Linked DNA regions of Cricetulus griseus. The protein of the gene in region 2 purifies or fractionates together with the protein of the main gene of each other region. This does not show direct contact. Links are inferred from orthologs where the notes say so. Each region holds a gene or a part of one and is shown on either strand. Other genes may lie near its edges. The genes, in order: dynamin-binding protein and Dnm2.

Region 1 (3,811 bases), on a different chromosome or scaffold from region 2:
ACATTCTGTGACAGTTTTGCCAATCTCCCCCAACCTTAAGCCTGAACTTTGTCAATGACCTCCTGAAGAAAAGACGTCAGAAACGCACACACAATAAATAAATGAATAAAATAAAAAGCCCAAGAAAAATCAGGTGAGACATCTAGCAATGAGTGAACAGACTAGAACTCTCCTAAGAGAATAAAGTCGAACAGTGTAGAGATGTGGGCTTGAAGGAGCCCAAACAAGAGTGGGGAAACTCCTCCACCTGCAACTCCGGATGAGTGGTCAGGACCATGAGGAGTAGGCAGGACCCAATCTACTAGTTTTGCTTAGAGTGGCTGCTGTTAGTGTGAGTTCATGAGAATGTATGCTCATGGCCCCGTATGCTCATTATAGCAATTCACACTTACAAATAAAACACATACCTATGTGTTTTACGCTCTATGAGTATGCCAACTTTGTAACTGGAAGCTCGCAACTACCTGTAACTCCAGCATCGGGGTATCCGAAGTCTCCTCTGACCTCCAAGAGCATCTATAACCATGGCATACATTCTCTCTCTCTCTCTCTCTCTCTCTCTCTCTCTCTCTCTCTCTCTCTCTCTCATACACACGTACACATAAAAAGAAATAAAAACACATCTTCAAAAAATAGTTCCACTAAAGTCTAAGCATCTTTGAACCATACGTCAACTATCGAACAATGATGTCCCCATATGAAAAGTTTTGTTTTTGTTTTTGTTTTTCAGGACAGGGTTTCTCTGTGTAACAGCCGTATTCGGGAACAATTCTCCTGCCTCAGCCTCATGAGTGCTCAGATTACAGGCACACATCACCAAGCCAGCTCCACTTTGTATATTATTTTTCCTGTGAGTCTGCTGAATAAGAACTCTCCAGAGAGAACTGGGAATGTGGCTCAAAGAGCCCTCTGCACAAGCATAGGACCTAAGCACCCAGCACCCCATGTACAAGGCCAGGAGTGGTGACACACGCCTATAAGCTCAGCACTGAGGAAGTAGACACAGGTGGGTTTCACTGGCCAGTCAGCCTAGCATGATCAGCAAGCTCCAGGCCAGTGGCTCTCGACCCCTTTGGGGTTGCACATCAGATATTTATGTTACAATTCAAAACAGTAGCAACATTACAGTCAAGAAGTAGCAACAAATAGATGGAACTAGAAGAAACCATCCTGAGTGAGGTAACCCAGACACAAAAAGACAAACATGTATGTACTCACTCATATATGAATTTTAGACATAGAGCAAAGGATTACCAGCCTACAATCCTCATCACCAAAGGAACTAGGAAACAAGAAGGACTCTTAAGAGAAAAATGCACGGACCCGGGAGAATGGGAAGGAGCAGGATCTCCTGAGTTAATTGGTAGCCTGAGGGTAACAGAGAGGGAGCTGCCAGAATGAGAGGAGAAGAGGAGAGGAGAGGAGGAAATGGAGGAGCAGAAAGGTTGAGTAGGGGAAGAATAGAGGAGAGCAGGATGAGAGATACCATAACAGAGGGAGCCATTATAGGTCTGAGGAGAGATCTGGCACTAGGGAGATCTCCAGAGATCTACAAGGATGACACCAATTGACAATCTAGGTAATGGTGGAGAGGCTACCCTAAATGCCCTTCCCCTATAATGAGACTGATGACTACTTTTTATGCCATCCTAGAGCCCTCATCCAGTGGCTGATGGAAGCAGAGGCAGACACCCACAGCTATACACTGAACTGAACTCTGGAACCCAGTTGCAGAGAGGGAGGAGTGAAGAACAAAGGGGCCGGGACCAGGCTGGTGAAACCCACAGAAACAGCTGGCTTGAACAAGGGGGAGCACATGGACCCCAGACTGCTGCCTGGGAGGCCAGCAAGTTACTGATCCAGACCCCTGAACATGGATGTCAATGAGGAGGCCTCGGCACTCTAGGGGGCCCCTGGTAATGGATTAGTATTTTTCCCTGGTGTAAGAAGGGACTTTGAGAGCCCATCCCTCGTGAAGGGATGCACTCTTGGCCTGGACACATGGGGGAGGGCCTAGGCCTGGCCCAGGATGTCGTGGTGGACTTGGGGGAGCCTCCATGGAGGGCCCTACCCTCCCTGGGGAGCAGAGGGGGGAAGGGTGGGGGGTTGGCAGGGGCTGGGGGGAGGGGAGGGGAGGGAGAAGGGATTGACATGTGAAGCAAGCTTGTTTCTAATTTGAACTAATAAAAAAAAAGAAGTAGCAACAAAAATAATTTTATGGTTGGGAGTCACCACAACATGAGGAACTGTATCAAGAGGTTACAGCTGTAGGAAGGTTGACAGCCACCGCTCTAGGCCAATGAGAGACCCTATCTCAAAAAACCAAGGTGACAGCAGTTGAAGAACAATGCTCAAGGATGACTTCTGACCCATACACATGTACACACATATGCATGCATACCTACACATGTACCTGCACACACACACAGAACTTCAGAGACTAGCCATGGAATATGCATTTTTGAATATACCAGGTGGGAAGGAGTCAAAAGCTATAGTAGCGATAACACCAGCTTAGACCTCAGCTCTCTGCAAGTCACTTAACAGCTCGGTCTAGTTCCTCCCTCTATAAAGTGGTGTCTGAACAATCCCTGCATGAGGGCCATGAAAAGACTATTTTTTTTAAATTTGTTTTTTCTTTTCTTTTTAAAGATTTTATTATTTATTATGTATACAGCATTCTGCTTCCATGTAGATCTGCAGGCCAGAAGAGAGCACCAGATCTCATTACGGATGGTTGTGAGCCACCATGTGGTGGCTCACAATTGAACTCAGTGCTCTTAACCTCTAAGCCATCTCTCCAGCCCAACTCTATTTTTTTTAGTAATTTATTTTTATTTTACATGAATTGGTGTTTTGCCTTCTGTTTGAGGGTTGGATTTCTTGGAACTGGAGTCATGGACAGCTGGGAGCCACCATGTGGGTGCTGAAAATTGAACTCAGGACCTCTGGAAGAGCAGTCAGTGCTCTTAACTGCTGAGCCATCTCTCCAGCTCCCTGCCCCGTGAAGCCTCTAAACAAATAGTAACAACAAATGCTAACAAGAAAGAAATACAGGCTATCACTGCCGTCACACGGCCCCTGATCACAAAGATAAAGTTTTAGTTTTCTCAGGAGAGTTGGCCTGGTAGACTTCAGTTTAGAAAGTCTAGTTTAGGAACTTCCAATCTGCAATGTAGCATGGATGCCACAGTGGCAGAGGGGGTACTGTGTCAAAAATACACTCGTTTATGAGGCTGGGCTTCTCTATGAGCAGTAAATGACGTCATAGATACAGCACAGCACAGCAATCTAATTAGGTGACAGAATGAGGAACTAGGAATCGAGATGTGGATCACTCTGTGTTGACCAGGGTGCTTTTCACATAGCCAGGCCCTCACTGAGCCTCAGTGTGGAGATCACACTGTTTCCTGACTCTTACCTCTCAGCTGCTGGAGCTCCAGGGTCAGACTCTGAATGCTGCTCTCATAGAACTTGAGATTTTCCAGCATCTCTGCCCTCAACGATTCATCCTGCTTTTCCTCCAACATCAAGGTCAGCTCTTCCTGAGCCCTGGTGTACATGTCCAAGTCATTTTCCACATCCTGAATCCTCACCAGCACAGAGGGGCACAGAGACTGAGACATCTGGGCTGGGCTCTGATCCGCAGGCTCAGGGCACTCCTTCTCTGGGGCCTCCCAACTAGGAAGGGTACAGGAGGTGGGCTTGGGAGAGGCTGTGTTCGTCTTCTGTTGCGTAGAGGGAGGCAGGGGAGCTGGGCGGGAGGGCCGCACTGCCAAGGGGGGTGCAGGTTTGAGGCTCTGGTCAACCA
Region 2 (4,388 bases):
TATCCTGGTCTCCAGGACAGCCTCCAAAGCCACAGAGAAACCCTGTCTCGAAAAACAAAACAAAACAACACCACAAAAAAGAACACTTTTTGCTCCTGCAGAGGATCTGGGTTTTGTTCCCAGCACCTACACTGTGGTTCACAGCCATGCAGAATTCCAGTCCTAGGGGATCTGACACTTCTGATTTCTGCGGGCACCAGGCACATTATGTGGTGCACATAAAAATAAAATAAATATTTTAAAACGTTTCAATATTTTATGTAAAATTTTAAGATTGATTTATGTAACAATTTTTTATGTACAAGGGTGTTTTGCCTGCATGTAAGCATGTGTATCATATTTGTGTCAGATCCTGTGGAGGCCAGAGGAGGATGTCAGATTCCTGGAACTGGAACTACTGATGGTTGTGAGCTGTCATGCAGGTGCTGGGAACCAAACTCGGGCCCTCTGCAAAGGCAGCAAGCACAAAGCCATCTCTCTAGGAGCAATAGAAAAAAATTTTCTTAAGTAAAAATAAACCTAGGCTTATAGTCACCGGTAAAAGACTTGCTTAGCTTCATGAGGCTATGGACTCATCCCCAGGAACATTCAGGAACATGCGCGGAAGAACGAGTGGATTCAGACACCACACTCACAACCTGCTATGAAACTCATCTTCCACTGGCACTGCACTCTTCCAGAGCTGGCATCTGTGGTGCTTCCTAAGATACAAGTTTTCTCCCAGTGCCTAAAAACGCAGGCGTGATGATCACTGAACCTTTTCTCGAGGTGTGGCGCTTTCCAAGTACTGTGGCCCTCTGCTTAGAAAGAATATCACAAACTGACAACAAAAGCCAGGAAAAGCTGGGAAGAACTGACTGACAGACACTGCTGTCAGTCAGAATCAGGACATAGACGCTAGTAGCCTGTAATTCTAGCAGGAGGGATACTGAGACAGGAGGATCACCTCGAGTTTGCGGCCAACCTATGGTTCAGAAAGAGCAGAAAAAAAAAGGGTTGTGGCTCTCTTCTTTCATTGGTCAGAGGGACGAAGTGATATTTACATCAACCAATGAGAAAATTTTACGGAACTAACTAGTGTCAAGTGACAACCCTGTGTTTAAGGATCGATTCCTTACACCATTGGCAGGCTGACGTTTCCAGAGACCAATAAGACAACCCAGATCAACCTAGTGAGCAGAGGCTTCGCTGTCTTTACCCGAGACCCCGCCTTCCGGGCGTGACACCCCGGTTTCCACTTCTATTGGCTTTCTCATATTAGTGACAGTTCTACTACCCAATGAAGGTGAAAGACTAGTCCTTCCTCGTGCCTTTTCTACTGGCTCCCATTCTTGAGTGGCAGCATTCTTGACCAATTGGCATAGCATTAGGGCTCCTGGCTCCGCCCCGGAGGCCGGGCGGGGAGGTCGCTCGGGTCGGGTGTCGCCTGAGAACCGGATGAGGCGGCGACTGTGAGGCCGAGCCGTGAGCGGGCGTCGCGGCGAAGTGGAGCCCGGGCGGGCTGGTGGAGCGAAGCGGGAGGAAGCAACGGCCACAGACGCCTCGGAGCCGCGTGTCGTAGCCAGGGGAGCCGCGGGGCGGAGGCTGGCACCATGGGCAACCGCGGGATGGAAGAGCTCATCCCGCTGGTTAACAAGCTGCAGGACGCCTTCAGCTCCATCGGCCAGAGCTGCCACCTGGACCTGCCGCAGATCGCCGTGGTGGGCGGCCAGAGCGCCGGCAAGAGTTCGGTGCTCGAGAACTTCGTGGGCCGGTGAGCGAGCGCGCCGGCGGCAGTTCCCAGGCTCCCGCGGGAGGCCGGGCGGCGGGCGGGCGGCGGCCGGCCTAGGCGCGGAGGGCGGGCGGGGAATGGCGGAACTGCGGCTCGCGGACGTCGTAGCACCCGTGGCAGTGGGTAAGGTCTGTGGCAAGAGCGTCCGTGACTTTCCTCAGGGACCGGAGATGCAGACCCACTTCCGGACCTGTCTGGGGCAAGATGGCCAATGCAGATCCTTCTTGGTGCACTGAGTCCCAGCTATCGCTGGTGAACTGTGACATCGCATTGCCTGTGATCCAGGATAGATCCACTCTTTTCTCCTGCTACCTGTAAATCTTAGTGTGCGTGCTACTGAAGCTACACTTATCATCCAGCCCCCCCATGGGGGATGATCCCTGGGTCTGTCAGGCTGGTTATCTATGTGGAGCCTTCTCTGCCGTCTGGTTAGCTGTTTATTCGTTCTAGACAGGCTTCCTACCGGCACCATTTGGTTGTCCCATCTGTCCAGACCCACCCCGAAGTCCACTGTTGTCTGACTAGCTGTTTATGGTGACCTCTGGTGTGCAAATGCCCATCTGTGCCCTTTGCTTACCCGAGTTGGTCTCTGCCACCTGAACGCCTGAACTTTTAGGGGCCTCTGTTGTCTGGTTCTCTTGGGCCATTGGCTTCTGTCTTCCAAGTGAATCCGTTCCGTTAGTATGCCCTGCTGTTCATTACCGCCCAGTCAACTCTGCCTGTCCCATCCTCTCTGAGTGGGGGGGGGGGGGGCGGGGCGCTTGAGAAGAAACATTCTTTAGGATTCTTTCCTGGCCCAGGATCCTAGAGAAACTACTAGCTGGCTCCTAAGCTAAATCTTCCCGGTTGGAGAGCTCTCCAGACAGCTCTGGGAGCCTCAGCTTGTTCCATCTGTCCAGTGGGCAAATTCCACTTGCAGCTGTTTCTATGATCCAGGAAGTGAGTGAAGGAGGGATGTTGATTTACTCCTATCCCCTCCCCCGCTGCTTTTCACACAGCACCACTTCTCCATTCCAGGAAGTGTTCCATGTATGATGCTGTGGTGTGTGCCCAGTGATAATCTTTGCTTTGCTGTGGACATTATTGTGCCTGTGTGTGTCCGTGTGTCCAAGTGTGTGCCACAGTGCACTTGTGGAGGTCAGAGAACATCATCTTTGTGCAGTCCCTCATTTATGTGGGTCCTGGGGATCAAACTCAGGGCATCAGACCTACATAGCAAGCAAGCCCCTTTGCCCATTGAGCCATATCATTCATTGTCTTTTCATCTGAATGTGTAGCTTTGGAGCCTATCCTGGCACTTGCTCTGTGGCTCAGGCTGACCTTGAACTCAGAGATCCACCTGCCTCTGCCTCCCGAGTGCTGGGATTAAAGGTGTGTGTAGCCACTGCCAGGCTCCATCTGAAATTTTTGAGACGTGGTCTGAGTCTGAAGCTCACGGAGCAGCTAGACTGGCTGGCCAGTGAGCTCCAGTGTATCCACCTCTCTCTGCCTCACCCTAGCATTGGGTTACACAGACACACTCTCTCTCTCTCTCTCTCTCTCTCTCTCTCTCTCTCTCTCTCTCACACACACACACACACACACACACACACACACTCCCTACTTCCTTCCCTCCTTCTCCCTAGTGCATGTTGTTGTTGTTGACAGTCTTTTGTGGAAGGAGGAACATCTCTGAATTTGAGGCTATGTTACTCTACATAGAGTTCTAGGGTAGACAAGGCTATACAGTGAGACCCTGTCGCAAACAAACAAACAAACAAACAAAAAACCCATATAGGTTGGTTCAAGGATGTACTTGGATGTTGGAAGTGTCGATTTAGGCTAAATTAGATGTACCTGTGATCTTAGGTACTCAGGAGTCTGAGGCAGGACAAGGTTTGAGTTTATGGTCACCTTGGGTTGCATTGTTAGATCTTGTCTCAAAAAAAAGCCAGGAGTGGCTTGTGGTTGTAGCTCAGGCATAGAGCAGTTGCCTTGCATGAATAAGGCCCTAGGGGTTAGTCCTTAGCATTAAACCGATAATAAATATTATTGCCATTTATGTTCTCTTTGATTGCTTCATACTCAAAGAGACCTTTGTAAGACTGTGGCTTTTAGGTACTGAATTTTTTATGTATATGTACATACACCTATTTTTAATTAATTTTTTTAGATATAGTCTCACTCTCTAGACCAGGCTGGCCTTGAACCCACAGGGATCCACCTGCTTCTGCCTCCTGGGTGCTGGGATTAAAGGTATGCACCACCATTCCTCTATTTTTCAAAACAAAATTTTGAGACAGTCTCATACTATATAGTCCAGGCTGACCTGGAACTCACCATGTGACACAGGTTGGCCCCCAGAAGTGTAATAATCTTTTCCTGCTTCCACTTTCCAAGTGCTAGGGTCACAGGCATGTACTGCCATGCCTGGCATTAAGTTCTTTTTGCTCTAGAATGTCTTAAGGCCCCTGGGCTGAAGGAACCTGCTAAGAGGGGTCTTTTGGTGGGTCCCACTCAATCCTATTCTGTATCTCCTGCTGTGAATTTGACTAAACAGACTCAGAAATGAGAGTCTGTTTCCTTCCTCTGCTGTTCTTGAATGTACAGTAGGCATCTGGCTGGCACCCAGGAGCAA

Evidence for each region.
Region 1: the proteins of Dnm2 (region 2) and dynamin-binding protein purify together in Homo sapiens (co-immunoprecipitation; 3 studies listed by BioGRID and IntAct, with this or other methods). This does not show direct contact. The link is inferred for Cricetulus griseus from reciprocal best matches to the Homo sapiens genes DNM2 and DNMBP.

What each region holds. Positions count from the first base shown.
Region 1 is NC_048596.1:17,642,292-17,646,102, reverse strand, and holds part of dynamin-binding protein, read right to left. Parts: coding exon 3,422-3,811; intron 1-3,421. UniProt on the Homo sapiens protein: Plays a critical role as a guanine nucleotide exchange factor (GEF) for CDC42 in several intracellular processes associated with the actin and microtubule cytoskeleton.
Region 2 is NC_048597.1:134,285,793-134,290,180, forward strand, and holds the start of Dnm2 (dynamin-2), read left to right. Parts: upstream 1-1,425; 5' UTR 1,426-1,592; coding exon 1,593-1,753; intron 1,754-4,388. UniProt on the Homo sapiens protein: Catalyzes the hydrolysis of GTP and utilizes this energy to mediate vesicle scission at plasma membrane during endocytosis and filament remodeling at many actin structures during organization of the actin cytoskeleton.